Ovis aries: one gene and its partner. The protein of the gene in region 1 interacts with the protein of each later gene in a pairwise test. Links are inferred from orthologs where the notes say so. Each region holds a gene or a part of one and is shown in the gene's direction. Other genes may lie near its edges.

Region 1 (7,538 bases):
GGTCCCTGCTTGACCAAATTAGGATGTAGGGCTGGAGAACTGACCTATCCTTGAGGGAGGGCAGTCTTCACTGTACTGCTGTTTTTGCCAGCTGAAGAAAGGCTGCCCTGTGGTTGGTCTTTACTAACAGGTATGCAGAAGAAACATTTTGCCAGACCAATGCTGCATAGCAGATACTAGGGGATGTGTTACTTTGCTTAAACAGTGAAGCTACAGCTGGTAGGGCAGCTGCAATTGGAATCGCCATCTGGTTTAGTTTATGATGACCCAGTGCCGTTCTTCAGGCTCCATCTGTCTTCACAGGCCACAGGGACGTGTTGAACGGGGAGGTGGTAGAAATCACCCGTGCATCTTTCAAGTCCTTGATGATGGCATTACTCTCTGCAGTCTCTCTAAGTAGGCAGTATTGCCTTTGGTTATTAACTGGGGAATGCTGCCGCACTGTTGGTCCTGCTGTTGACGGACTGGACCCTCAGCGGTGGCCATGGTCAGACTGGCTTTGCTGAGTGCAAGCCTGTATTGCTGAGCCGCCAGATAACTTCCAGGACTGCCGCCGCAACCACTTTGCTCATCCAAGGCAGAGGCAGCTGTAGAGGCTTCCACTTGGCTCTTTCTCACAAAATAACCCTCACTTTAAGGGTCGTGGAGCCAATGTAGGGATTCTGCCAGTTGCTGAGTATTATTCTAATTATTCCAACAGTGCATTCCCAAACTGGAGAAATAACCCCAGTATGGGTGCAGAGACCCCTATGAGATGGACCTGAGCTAAAACTCCATTCATCACCTGACCTCTGCAAACCTTTGCTTGGAGGAGTACCGCAGTGATGTTCTGGATGCTCTGGACTCAGTGTCAGCTCAGACCCAGTGTCCAGTAATTCCTGAAAAGTCTGATTACTTCCTTTTCCCCAAGGCACAGTCACCCTAGTAGAAGGCCACATGTCCCTTTGGGGAAGGCTCGAAGAAAGAGTAATAGTATGTATTTTTGACAATGTTGCAGAATCTTGTAGGAGACAAACATCCCCTTTGTTCAAGGAGTTTTGGGTCTGCAAATTGACTCAAGTCTGGGAATTGATGGAGTCTCTCTGTTTTAGTAATTTAAGTTAGGCTTTTGTTTGCTTGACCAAGAACTTTCCTGCTCATACAGATCACATAAGAATTCAGTAGAATTCTCATCCTGGATTGCCATGACTAACTGATCAATGCCATAGGTCTGTGGGGGCAGACTGTTCTGGTTGCTGCTTTGCCTTTGCTGTCCATTACAGAAACCGTGCCCACCCTGCCTTGGGTGATTCATTGCCACCATTCGGCTCCAGCCACGCTGGGATCCAACTATTCTCACTGCATTTAAGGACCCACGCTGCAGTGGTGCAGTTTCCATGGTAATTTCTGATCTACAGAGAAGAGTTGACCAGGCATGCTGGGTCACAGAGTTATTTCTCAGAGTGTCCTCTGGACCTCCTGGGAGTCAGTAAGTGGGTCTTATGTGATAAGTCTATGCTAATATTTCACTCTCCCTAAGCCTTTAGATAATTCCTTTACAGTGTACCAAGGCAGTTCTGGCATTTCCACATCATTTAGTGCTGGTCACCTCTTGCCTCCCATTTCTGTCAACTAGCTAAGCAAACAGCTTGTTCTAATCTCACAAACTGCGGTGAATCCGGATCTCTGCTTGGTGGTGACCGTCATTACATTCAGCCTCATCCAATGGTTCCCCACACTCTTCATATTAACGCTCACATTCATTCTGTCCCACAACACTCCGACTTCTAAGCATATATAGGTGTTTTCACTCACATGGTCCTGATCTTTTGAACGACCTTGACTCTCCTGCAGTTCTAGGACGATCCTTCCCCTTCCTCCAGGGAGCCTTTCCGACCTTTCACTGCCTCTTACCGCCCCTCCTCCCACTTCTACAGTGTTTCATGACAGACTTTGGCTCTTGCATATTCTGCTGTACGTCATGATTTAGTTTTACACGCTCATGTTTATCTTCCCCATAGGAGGCCGGGGAAGCTCCTTAAGGGCGAGAACCATTTCTGGCAGGTGCGTCTTCAGAGATGCTCCAGGAGACTCCTGCATGAATACAAGAGGAGGCGAGTGGGCTGGCTTAGGAACTCAGCACGGATCGCAGTTGTGTCCTGGGCTGGCTGCCCAACGTGGGGAGGCGGATCTGGGGCCAGCCCAGTGCTGCCAGAAGATTCAAACAGTTGGATCCTCATTTCATGTAGAACTACTCGCCCCGCTCTCTTTCCCAGGGTGAGCTGCAGTCTCCCCTCATCCTCCCCCCGCCCCCCGCTCCTAGCGAAAAGAGTCCCTCTCACTCCGTCCAGCTCTTCCATCAACCCTGTGGTCACTTCCCTAATTAGTGTCTGGGAGGAACCCTCCCGTCCCCCAAGGAGGGCCTCCTAGTCTCTCCCTTCCCGAACACCCGTCCTCTCCACCGCACTTCCCCTCTCATTTTCGTCCAACACCGAGGGAGAGTGAAAAATAAGCTCTCCGAGGTCTGTGACCCAGGCTGCGGGCTTGCGCGCCCCGCCCGCCCCAGCCGTCCGCGTGTGTGTGTGTGTGTGTGTGTGTGTGTGTGTGTGTGTGTGCGCGCGCGCGTGCCTGCCCCGAGGCTGGAGAGGAAACAGCCGGTCCAGCCCGGGAGGAGGAAGGAGCCTCCCCTTCCTCGCCAGCCCCCTCCCCACTTCCCGTCCGGCTCGGCCTTTAGCTTCCCGGACGCGGGCCTCGGGTGCACAGAGCCCTCTGGCCGCAGCGGAGATGGAGAAGGCGGAGGCGGATCGGGAGGAGCCGGCGGGGCGCATGCTGGGCGGGGCTCCCCAGGGCGCCCCGGCCGGTGGCGGCAGGGGGCACCGCGCAGGTAGGGGTGCTGTCACGGCCGCCCGGCGGGTCGGGCCGAGGGTTCCTCGGCGAGGGTGAGCTCTGTCCTCTGGAAATCGTTTAGGTCCGGGGTGCGCCTCGGTTAATATCTAGGGCTTCTGCACTCTTGCGGGGTGAGGGAAACTGAGGCAGGGCGCGTGGCGTGCCGAGCTGAAGTCTTTGTCGGGCCTGGGGCTGCCCGCCAGCGCCGAGCCGGGCCAGGTCCTCCCGGAAGACGGTGCTGAGATCCCGGGAGCCGCAGTTCCCGCCCCCGTGGGTCCCGGTGGCCGAGGAAGGCGGCTTGAGCGCGCGGCTGGGTTTCGCTGCGCCCGGGGACTGAGCCAGCCGAGGCTCGGGGCTCCGCGCGCCCTCCCCTGCGCACTCGCCGGACAGGGGACGCCCCGCCGCCTGGTCCGGGAACAGCGTCCTGACACCTCGCAGAGTCTCGGGTTTCAGCACTCGAGGACCTGGAGGGAGGAGGTTGGGGTGGGATGGGGGACGCGGTGCTGGCACCGTCCCAAGGGGCTGCTCTGCGAGCAGTTTCACCTCCCACTTCCTCCGCATCTGTGATGCCCTCGGCTGTCTCGGAGCTGGAGCCGGGGAGCCCCGGTCAAGCTGTCAACGCTGTCAGCGCTCAGCGTTGACACTGAGGCCGTGAAGTGCACAGCTGCTTTGCAGGAATGGCAGGATGTCCCCTGCCATCTCGCTTTTAAAATACACGTGCAAAGGAGTTTGAGACTTTGGGATAAGAATGAGATTTGGAGTGAGGGAGTTATGTGTCCTTGCTGGACTGGAAGGAGGCGGGTAACTTTGACAGCTTCTTGAGTCTTCCCCGGTGGCTCAGATGGTAAAGCGTCTGCCTGCAATGCGGGAGACCCGGGTTCGATCCCTGGGTTGGGAAGATCTCCTGGAGAGGGAAACGGCACCCCACTCCAGTACTCTTGCCTGGAGAATTCCACGGTCGGAGGAGCCTGGTCGCAAAGAGTCGGGCACGACTGAGCGATTTCACTTTCACTTTAGCAGCGCTGAACCTCGGATTTCATCACATACACAAAAGAACGCTGGTAACCTCCCCCCTCCCCATCTCGTCTGGATATCTGCTGTGTGTGAAAGCACTTTGCAAAATGTATGGTCAGTTGGGCAGGCAAATGCGATTTGGGTAATACCAGAGCCTTAAGAGCTGGAGGTTGAGACAGTTAGCTTGCATCTCAACCCTGCACTTAACTGTGTCTTAGTTGCCCCATTTATGAAATGGGACAATGACAGTGACCTCATAGAGTCGCTGTGGGTTTGACTGTGGCCATGGATGTGAACACCCAACCTGGTGCTGAGATACGTAGTAAGCTCTAAATAAGAGCCTCAGATGCTCTTTTCACTAAGCAAAACCCAGTTAATTTGGAGTGGTGAAAAAAAAAAAAAAACACAAACAAACCACCACCAGTTTGATTTGATTATAGTATGAATGTGTGTGTGTGTGTGTGTGTGTGTGTGTGTGTGTGTGTGTTCAGTCGTGTCTGACTCTTTGCAACCCCATGGATTCTAGCCCACCAGGCTCCTCTGTCCATGGGTTTTCCAGGCAAAAATACTGGAGTTGGTTGCCATTTTCTTCTTCAGGGGATCTTCCTGACTCAGGGATCGAACCCTTGTCTCCTGCATCTGCAAACAGATTGTTTACCACTGTGCCATCTGGAAAAACCACATCTCTTGTAAAGTATGAATCAGCTCAGTTCAGTTCAGTTGTTCAGTCGTGTCCAGCTCTTGGCAACCCCATGGACTGCAGCACGCCTGGATTCCCTGTCCATCACCAACTCCCAGAGCTTCCTGAAACTCATGTCCATCGAGTCGGTGATGCCATCCAATCTCATCCTCTGTCGTCCCCTTCTCCTCCCACTTTCAATCTTTCCCAGCATCAAGGTCTTTTCCATTGTGTCAGTTCTTCACATCAGGTGGCCAAAGGATTGAAGTTTCAGCTTCAGCATCAGTCCTTCCAATGAATATTCAGGACTGATTTCCTTTAGGATGGACTGGTTGGATCTCCTTGCAGTTCAAGGGACGCTCAAGAGTCTTCTCCAACACCACAGTTCAAAAGCATCAGTTCTTCAGCACTCAGTTTTCTTTATGGTCCAACTCTCACCTCCATACATGACTACTGGAAAAACCATAGCTTTGATAAGATGGACCTTTGTTGGCAAAGTAATCGCTGCTTTTTAATATGCTGTCTAGGTTGGTCATAGCTTTTCTCCCACGGAGCAAGTGGCTTTTAATTTCATGGTTGTAGTCACCATCTGCAGTGATTTTGGAGCCCCCCAAAATAAAGTCTGACACTGTTTCCATTGTTTCCCACCTATTTGCCATGAAGAGATGGGACCAGATGCCATGATCTTAGTTTTCTGAATGTTGAGTTTTAAGACAACTTTTTCACTTTCCTCTTTTACTTTCATGAAGAGGCTCTTTAGTTCTTTGCTTTCTGCCATAAGAGTGGTGTCATCTGCATATCTGAGGTTATTGATGTTTCTTCCAGCAATCTTGATTCCAGCTTGTGCTTCCTCCAGCCCAGCATTTCTCATGATGTACTCTGCATAGAAGTTAAATAAGTAGGGTGACAATATACAGCCTTGACGTACTCCTTTCCCGATTTGGAACCAGTCTGTTGTTCCATGTCCAGTTCTAACTGTTACTTCTTGACCTGCATACAGATTTCTCAGGAGGCAGTTCAGGTGCTCCAGTATTCCCATCTCTTGAAAAATTTTTCACAGTTTCTTGTGATTCAGACAGTCAAAGGCTTTGGTGTAGTCAGTAAAGCAGAAGTAGATGTTTTTCTGGAACTCTCTTGCTTTTTCGATGATCTAACAGATGTTGGCAATTTGATCTCTGGTTCCTCTGCCTTTTCTAAATCCGGCTTGAACATTTGGAAGTTCACAGTTCACGTACTGTTGAAATCTGGCTTGGAGAATTTTGAGCATTACTTTGCTGGTGTGTGAGATGGGTGCAATTGTGTGGTAGTTTGAAAATTTTTTGGCATTGCCTTTCTTTGAGATTGGAATGAAAACTGACCTTTTCCAGTCCTGTGGCCACTGCTGAGTTTTCCAAATTTGCTGGCATATTGAGTGTAGCACTTTCACAGCATTGTCTTTTAGGATTTGAAATAGCTCACCTGGAATTCCATCACCTTCACTTGCTTTGTTCATAGTGATGCTTCCTAAGGCCCACTTGACTTCGCATTCCAGGATGTCTGGCTCTTTGGTGAGTGATCACACCATCGTGGTTATCTGGGTCAAGAAGATCTGTTTTGTATAGTTCTTCTGTGTATTCTTGCCACCTCTTCTTAATATCTTCTGCTTCTACTAGGTCCATACTGTTTCTGTCCTTTATCGAGCCCAGCTTTGCATGAGATGTTCCCTTGGTATCTCTCATTTTCTTGAAGAAATCTCTAGTCTTTCCCATTCTATTGTTTTCCTCTGTTTCTTTGCATTGATCTCTGAGGAAGGCTTTCTTATCTCTCCTTGCTATTCTTTGGAACTCTGCATTCAAATGGGTGTATCTTTCCTTTTCTCCTTTGCCTTTAGCTTCTCTTCTTTTCTCAGCTATTTGTAAGGCCTCCTCAGACAACCATTTTGCCTTTTTGCATTTCTTTTTCTTGGGAATGGTCTTGATCACTGCCTCCTTTACAATGTCACAAACCTCCCTCCATAGTTCTTCAGGCACTCTGTCTATCAGATCTAATCCCTAGAATCTATTGGTCACTTCCACTGTATAATCTTAAGGGATTTGATTTAGGTCATACCTGAATGGTCCAGTGGTTTTCCTTACTTTCTTCAATTTCAGTCTGAATTTTGCAATAAGGAGTTCATGATCTGAGCCACAGTCAGCTCCCTGTCTTGTTTCTGCTGACTGTGAATAGCAGAGTATTTAAAAAGAAATTTAATTGTAATAAGTTCATAAGTGGTACATCAAATCTTTTGAGGGAATCTTCCCACCCAGGGATCAAACCCGGATGTCCCACATTGCAGGCAGATTCTTTACCATCTGAGCCACTAGGAAGCCCAGTTGAGAATCTGGCACTGAGAAAAAAGAGGCCTGGAGCTTCTTTCTAAGCTGTGTGTCCTTGATCCTCAGTTTCCTCAACTGTTTACAAAAAAGATAAGACGGGGACAGTAACTTCTGGGTTAGGGCTGCCTGAGGATTCAGTGAAGTAAATGGTACGAGTACCTTGGGGCATATGACTGACTGTGCAAATAGAAGATATCAGTGCTACCAGGAGGGAATAAGAAAGTCTGCAGCTTTTTAGAGCTTGCAGTATGCCAGGCTGTCTAGCAGGAATTGCTGTGATGAAATCTGCCCCAGACCATTTTAAGGTAGCTACTTATAATTTTCATTTTCCCCATACAAATCTGAGATGCAGATTCACCCCTCTTATTTCCACGTCACATAGCCATTAAATGTAGAACCAGGGTTAGAACTGTGGGTTGGTGCCTCTCACAACTGTATTCTCAACCACTGGCTGAACTAAAGTTATGGAGACAAGCTGATGTTCAGAGCAGCCCTATGTTAGATCACTGGTAACTATATACCCTACATATTTATAGACTCTAAAACATGGGTGAATTGTTAACTCTGGAAGAAGAGACTTTGAAATAATCTTGTTTTCATCCCTATGTAAAATAATGCCATTTTAA
Region 2 (7,070 bases), on another chromosome or scaffold:
AGGACTGTGTAGGAAGGCCCATGACCTGTAAGCGGGGATGAGATGCCCGTCTTCCTGTGGAGCAGGATGTGGTGCTCATTGGCGAGGGTCCCACTGGCATCTTCGTGCCTCAGTTCGGCCCTTGTTCCCATTGGGTTACACATGTGTCACCTGGGTTCTGCCATTGTGAAAGGCAGCCTTGAAGGTCGCTCTGTGTGACTGTTTAAAAACAGCAAGCTGCTCTCACATCGTGGAGTAGGGGTGTGGGGAGAGGGCCCAGGCCGCCCCATTCCGGGGGTGGTTTACAGTCTGAACGTGGGCATCTGACACCGGTGACATCAGAGCATCATCAGGGTTCCTGACCACGCTAACCGTCAGGGCAATCTGGAATGTTACTGTAAAACAGAAAGCAGTTTTGAAAAATCCCCAAACTGCAAGTCTCCAGATCTTCTGTGGACTTGGCTTTCCTTGTTTGTTGCAGAAGCTAAACTTGTAAACTGTCAGTTAGCTCAGTGCTGGCAGATCACTGCTTTTAAAGCAGAGCCATACCTTCAGTGTCCTTCCAGACACACAAAATCCAGTTGCATTGAACTTGGGAAGTGTTGTCAGTGGAGGGGAAGTCAGCAGTTGTCTTCGCTGGGCCTTAGCATCTGTTGTCACTGTATGGTCACTTGTCTGGAGGACACACCTGGTGCATACGAGGTGCTCGGTAAGGGACGCTGGATGATTTAGTCGATAAATGATTGTGTTCTCAATCATCAGCATTGCGGACAGAAAGAATGGGGTGACACGTTTAAATTGTAGCAGGTTTAGGAGCTGAATTAGAGAAATAATTAAATCGTAATACAGTATTGCTACTAAAATCTCAATTACAGGCTGTAAATTTTAGGTCAGACAGTGTAAGTCACTGTTTCACGATGGGAAACACACAGTTATATCCTGAAACTCATATGTCCGTGTAGCTCTTTTCAAAAAGCAAACTACACAAATTACTTCTAGCTTATTTGTTTAAAAAGCATTTAAAGTAGCATATTCGATATTCCCATTAATGTTTATTAGGTGTTAGAGAATTGGCTGACTAGCAGGCGTGTACAGAGCGCCCCCTGGAGCAGGCTGCCTGTGTGAGGCATGCTCTGTGAAAGGCTTCCCGGGACAGGGTCATCAGGGGTCAGGGACACAGACCCCACCTGCCATGTCTACCAGGGGCAGAGCACTTGCCCAGTCCAGAGCATGGACCGGACAGTTGGCCTCCTCTAGTTCTGCGGTGATTTCCTTGTGGGAACTCAGAGGACTCTGAAAGGGGAGCAGAAGTGACTAAAGGATTAGTACAGATAGCCGCTGAGATTCCCGGAAGAGTGGGGATACAGTCCACGAGTAAGCTTTCACGATTGGACACCTCAGTGTAATGTGTTCAGTCAGCTCATCCTGTACATTTCCTGTGTCTCTGCTGCCAGTTACTCGTAGGAAACTTTATAGTAAATTTTATAAATGCTGAAGCATGGTAATAGGCTATCTTAATAAAATGCTGATTGCTTTTTAATCATCTCTAAGTAGAGCAGGAGCCCACTTTCTCATCTTTGTACTAAGTAAATTTGCAGTTAAACTTTATAAATTCCTATGTTTTGAGCATCCAGGGGGATTGTTACTTGAATTAATGCTAAACAAAATATATATATATATTTTTTTTTTGCTAAATTCCTCATTTGGGGCAGAGGAGGAAGAATGCTTGTCTTCGCTTTGAACAACTTTTATACAGAAGATATAACTCAAAGTCGTAGACAATGCTGGTTGTCAGACTTCAGCACTGCTGCTTGGCGATCTGTTGTTTTGCTTTCCTGAGAACAAGACAGTGCTTGTTTGGGATCCCTGTGTTTGGGGCAAGTCACTGATTTCACTTAAAAAAATTAGAGGAAAATATAAATAAACCAGAGTAAGATGTGAGATGTTTAAATGTGACTGCCACAGACGTCTTTGTAATTCCCGTGTTTTATGTTGGCAGGGTCTGTGTGACTGCTCTCCTGCTAAGGTGGCTTAGTAAGTAAGCCAGTCCCACTCATGGTCCCCGAAACATAGTTCACTGACCTTGAAATTGACTAGATAGCACCTCTTCTCGTACTAACGCAGAATAATGCACAGTAGTGGGTAAACACTTTAATCTCATGAAAGCGTATTAGTTTTCTACTTCTTCCCTGGGAAAACTAATGATTGACCACAGCAGTGGTCTCTTCCAGCTTCTTGAGGGTAGTGTCCCCAGAACACTGCGCCTCGTTGAGCCCATAACAGCGTCCGCGAAGGGGTAGTCCCGCACAGCGGCCCCGCTCACAGCCTGTCCTTCCACCCACAGCACAGGTGGATGTCTTGGCTGCTGCCCTGCGTGCCTCCAGCCTGGACACTGGTGACGAGGCCGGCGAGGCCGCCCGGAGGCCCCCTCAGGACGAGCTCCCCAGCTGCCGGCTCGACCATGACGCCTCTGGGCCTTTGATCAGTGAGGAGGTGAGGGTGCCACGGGGCGGGCACATGTTCTCGGGCGGCCGTGGGGCTCATCCCGGCCACTTAGTGCCCCCCTTCTGCATAAAGTCACCACATGTCATCTCTGTGACACCCGAGGGTCACGGCTCGTGCTTGGAGTTAGCAGTTGGTCCATCCTCCCCACCTGCCCACTGCAGCCCAGGTGAGGGCACCGCAGGGGGCAGAGCCTTCTGTTGGGGTGACGAACTCCCCCCCTGTCTTTCTGGAGAGGCGCTGGGTCTCTGACCGGTCTCTCCCTGCAGCAGGCATGGTGTTGAGCGAAGATCGGGACTTGAGGCCAGGAGTAGGTGTGGGCTGAGCTGGCCCCCGGCCTGTGTCCTGCAGTGGCTTTCCCCGTGCTACCGTGTCATCTGTGACAAGAAAAAAAGGTGTATTTGTGAACTTAGAAATAGCCAGAAATAGTAGAAGAAAAACTGCGTACAACATACCGTAGAAGAGTTGACTGTAGTACCCTCTAAGTACTGTTTTTATTGATTGCTAATTTCAGATATTTGGGCCTTTCCAAAATTACTTCTAAATTTGCTTTTCAATTACATTTCTTCTGGAATTTATTTTTAAACCTTAAGCAGCCTATTCTGCAAATTTGATTTGAGGCAGGGGAACTCTTAGGAGGTCTTACGTCTGTTTATAAACGTTGAAAAGCATGAAGACTTCATATGCATTCCTCCTTTGGAGGTCGTGAAAGGTGAACAGCTTGGACGGTGTAGGAGCAAGGAGCTGCCTGACGGGGTGGCTGTCTAAGTGGCTTTTCTCCCAGCAGACCTTGGACTCTGCCCTGCACTCTATGCACAATGGCTCAGACACGGGCCCCGGCAGTGGCTTCAGCCCTGAAGAGGAAAGGAGAGCTAAAGTCCAGGTCAGCAACCCCATACATGTTACTTTCACCCCGCTTTCAGCCCATTTCTCCCCGAATCTGGCCCTCCTGATAAGGTTTCGGAAAGGAGTGCTTGCTTGTGTGTCTTTTTTTGATGAGAAGATTCAAGCAGTGGAGTGGAGGACAAGCAGAGGCCTTTCCTTTCTCACACCATGACCCCTTCCCCCCAGGGTGCCCACAGCCACCCTCCTTCCGTGTTTCCTCAGAGCGAGTCTGCGGGCACGTGAGCACAGGCGTGCACACCTTTGTCTTTCAGAGACAGGCTGTCACGCCTGGTCTTCATGCCTGGGTTGTGTGGCTTGTAAAGTGGAGCTGGGTTTCAGAGAGGAGAACGTGGACGCAGGGCCAGAGCCGCCATGAGGTGCCGTCGGCCACAGGGTGCCCTGAGACAGAGGCTTCAAGTGTGGGGCCGCTGGGGTGTGGTGGTGCCTTTCTTTCGTTTCATTTTAAAAACATCGTGTCTTGGAGCTCTTTGCACAGGAACACAGACCCGCCTCCGCCCCCACCCCAGCACAGCAGCACCCCCGCCATGTGGGCAGGGCTGTGACGGGGGTGCAGGTGTGCTCTGACATCGCAGGTGAAGCCCGTGCACCATGATGGTGCCTGGGCCAAAGGCGGCGAATCCTTGATTGTTGTTTGTTGTTGATTAAAAATGGAGCCCACATTCACAGTGTTTTAAAGCACGCTTTTCCAAGCTAGTACATATAGACTGGCTCCTTGCTTCCATGAACTTCCACTTTATTTTTTAAAAATAGAGACTAAGTTTACAAAGTTCAGAATTGAGCTTCCCTCACAGTTTTCTCGAGCACCCACTTGGTTTTTCACCCAAGGCAGCAGTTGTGCCTTTATTTTGTAGCTCCCTGCAAAGCTGTATCACCCAAGATCATTGATACAAGTTGTTAGAGGTGTGCACACTTCGAGTTTCCATAGATAATTGCTAAAACTCCCCTCTGGAGGTGGTGGTGGTGGTTTTAAGATGCTGGCTGGTTGGCGGCGCGGGAGCAGACCCGTTTCCCCTGGGTCTCTGGGTCACTCCAGACTCTAATCTTTGCCAGCACTGAACCACCTGCTCTTGTTTCTGGCGTCTTGTAAATTTAGTGAACAGTTCTCATCGTCATCTAAGCTATTTTCTGTTTTAAGGTCTTGTTTGTCGTCTTTGTCCTAGAGGTACTTTTATCCACTGATACATGTATTTCCCTTTGCATGTTTTCTTACCTCTCAGTTTTTAGAGATGTGGAGACAGGTTTTTTGCTGCTGTATGAGATGCTGCGTTAAATCCAGGTATTTAACATAAGCATACCTAATCTACGAAGTCTCACCCTGTCTCGTTTAGGACGTGGTGCCCCAGGCCCTGCTTGACCAGTACCTGTCCATGACCGACCCCTCGCGGGCGCAGACCGTGGACACCGAGATCGCCAAGCACTGCGCCTACAGCCTGCCGGGTGTGGCGCTGACGCTCGGCCGCCAGAACTGGCACTGCCTGCGCGAGACCTACGAGACACTGGCCTCGGACATGCAGGTGCGGGGCCGCCGGCCAAACCTCGGGGCCGGGGCACAGGGCGCTGCGCAGAGGGTCTCCCTGCGGGTCCAGGCTCCTCCCTCCACTCGCACATCGCGCCTTCTTTTGGACTATACCCCTAAAATCTGCCTCCCATTTGAACCGCCGACGTCCCCAACTCACAGAGGTGCTGGCGCTGTGGTCTGAAATGTATGTGCAGATTAATTCTTAAGAAAGTGGGGCCCTTCCCCCAGAAACAGTAGCAGAAATGCTTCCTCCACACAGCCGGTGACCCTGAGCGGTTTTCCGCCTTTGTTCCCCAGCCTCTCGTGGCTGTGGTGACAGTGACGGGACAGCTCTGAGCGGAGCACCCTGCCCTCCTCCATGGGGGCGCACATCGCTGCAGGCACAGCATTCTGTCTCAGGAAGAGGTCCTGGTGTTTGGGAGTGGGGATAAACCCCTTGTCCTAACCAGCTTCTCAGCAAGTAAAGTTTTAAGCAAAATAAAAAAGTAAAATTTTAAATCAAGCCCACATGAAGATAAATAAGGTTTTGACATAAAGTTGCCTATAAAAACAGGGCATTCCTGTTCAGTGGTTCTTTTCCAGGGCTGCCTTCAAGAGATTTCCCCAGTCTTGTATTTCTTTAATGGCCAGTTCCTTAAGAATATGTTTTGGGGTTGTTTTGAATCCAGGGTAGACCGTGTGGAGCCAGGAGGGGTGCACCAGGAGGTTGGGCCCCCCGTGCTCCGAAGGCGCGCAGGCGGCTCCACCGTGCTCGCCAAGTGTTGTGTTCCTTCCTGAGTGAAAGGGGGAATGATACATACTCTGAGGGACTTGACGTTCTTCTGCCAGTTTTTGATAGAAAGTGAGCATTTTAAACTGGGTATCTATTATTACTATTTTATTTTGATTTCACTTGAGGTTAATAACACTGTTCAGATATAAATTAGCCTTCGTGTATTGTCCGGACGTCAAAGCACCAGGACTTTGTGTTCAGCTCACTAATGCCGCCGTCTTCACTCGTGCAGTGGAAGGTTCGAAGAACGTTAGCCTTCTCCATCCACGAGCTCGCCGTCATCCTGGGAGACCAGCTCACAGCTGCAGACCTGGTCCCAATTTTTAATGGATTTTTAAAAGACCTCGATGAAGTCAGGATAGGTGTCCTGAAGCACTTGCACGACTTTCTGAAGGTAACTTCTAAGTCCTTTTACATTAAAACACTGGCCTTGCACTGTAGATTTAGAGTCTTGACTCCACGCTGCCATCAAGATAGGTTCCCTTGTGTTCCGTGAGAAGTGTTGCCATGAGCTTGATGGCAAAAGGTGACTTAGAAAAGAGTCCCACTCTGATCAGTTTTGCTGGTGTCACTTTAGTGTTTAATTTAAAAATCACACTGAGTTTCATTTGAAAATGATGTTAGATCACAGTTACAAACATTAGTACATTTTTTCCTCAAACGTTACTGAACTGACCACACAGAAAGTCCTGTAGACGTTCAGCCTTCTGTGTTGTGTGGGAACTCTGAGAGGTCCCCTTGTCCTCCCCATCTGACGTGGACCGTGGTCTCCAGTACGAGAGCACTGACGGTAAATGGTTTAGCCCTGGGCAGCTACCGTAGTCCTAAGTCTGAGGTGTGGGAGAATTGTAATCACAGTTTCTCAGAGTGTCCCGAATTGTCCCCTCTCGACTCAGACCCCAGTGGGGAATCACACGTTGCATTGAAGTGTCTCTTCAGTCCCTTAGATCTAGATCAGCCTCCCTGACTCCCACCTTCAGTGGCCTGGGCCTGTTTGAAGAGGCTGGGCTGGTGGTCTTGCCGAATGTCCCCAGTTTGAAATGTCTGAGCGCTGTCAGCTAGTCAGATTCAGTGTCACAGGTGGTGCGTGCAGAGGCACGGCCTCTCTGCATGGGTCCTGGGTCTCCTCTCAAGGGTAACACGGTGTGGGCTCCTGGGGCCCCAGTGGTGCTGAGTCCAGACTCCTGGTCATGGGTCAGCGCCTCTCAGTGGGCAGTGCATTCAGGCTCTGAGCATCTCTCCCTGCTGCTTCTGTGCTCGCGTATCTGTACCCAGCTCCCCCCTGAATCACTTATGACCGTGTGGATTGTAAAATACCAATGTTCTATTTTTGTAACTCTTTCTATAGTTACTAGTATCTCCTGTAAAGATAACCTTTTCCTTCTCTTCCTC

The links.
Region 2: the proteins of DISC1 (region 1) and PPP4R1 interact in a two-hybrid assay, tested with the Homo sapiens proteins (2 studies listed by BioGRID and IntAct). The link is inferred for Ovis aries from reciprocal best matches to the Homo sapiens genes DISC1 and PPP4R1.

Annotation. Positions count from the first base shown.
Region 1 is NC_056078.1:3,812,561-3,820,098, forward strand, and holds the start of DISC1 (disrupted in schizophrenia 1 protein), read left to right. Parts: upstream 1-2,688; 5' UTR 2,689-2,763; coding exon 2,764-2,863; intron 2,864-7,538. UniProt on the Homo sapiens protein: Involved in the regulation of multiple aspects of embryonic and adult neurogenesis. Required for neural progenitor proliferation in the ventrical/subventrical zone during embryonic brain development and in the adult dentate gyrus of the hippocampus.
Region 2 is NC_056076.1:42,182,009-42,189,078, reverse strand, and holds part of PPP4R1 (serine/threonine-protein phosphatase 4 regulatory subunit 1), read left to right. Parts: intron 1-2,323; coding exon 2,324-2,472; intron 2,473-3,268; coding exon 3,269-3,364; intron 3,365-4,715; coding exon 4,716-4,901; intron 4,902-5,910; coding exon 5,911-6,072; intron 6,073-7,070. UniProt on the Homo sapiens protein: Regulatory subunit of serine/threonine-protein phosphatase 4. May play a role in regulation of cell division in renal glomeruli. The PPP4C-PPP4R1 PP4 complex may play a role in dephosphorylation and regulation of HDAC3.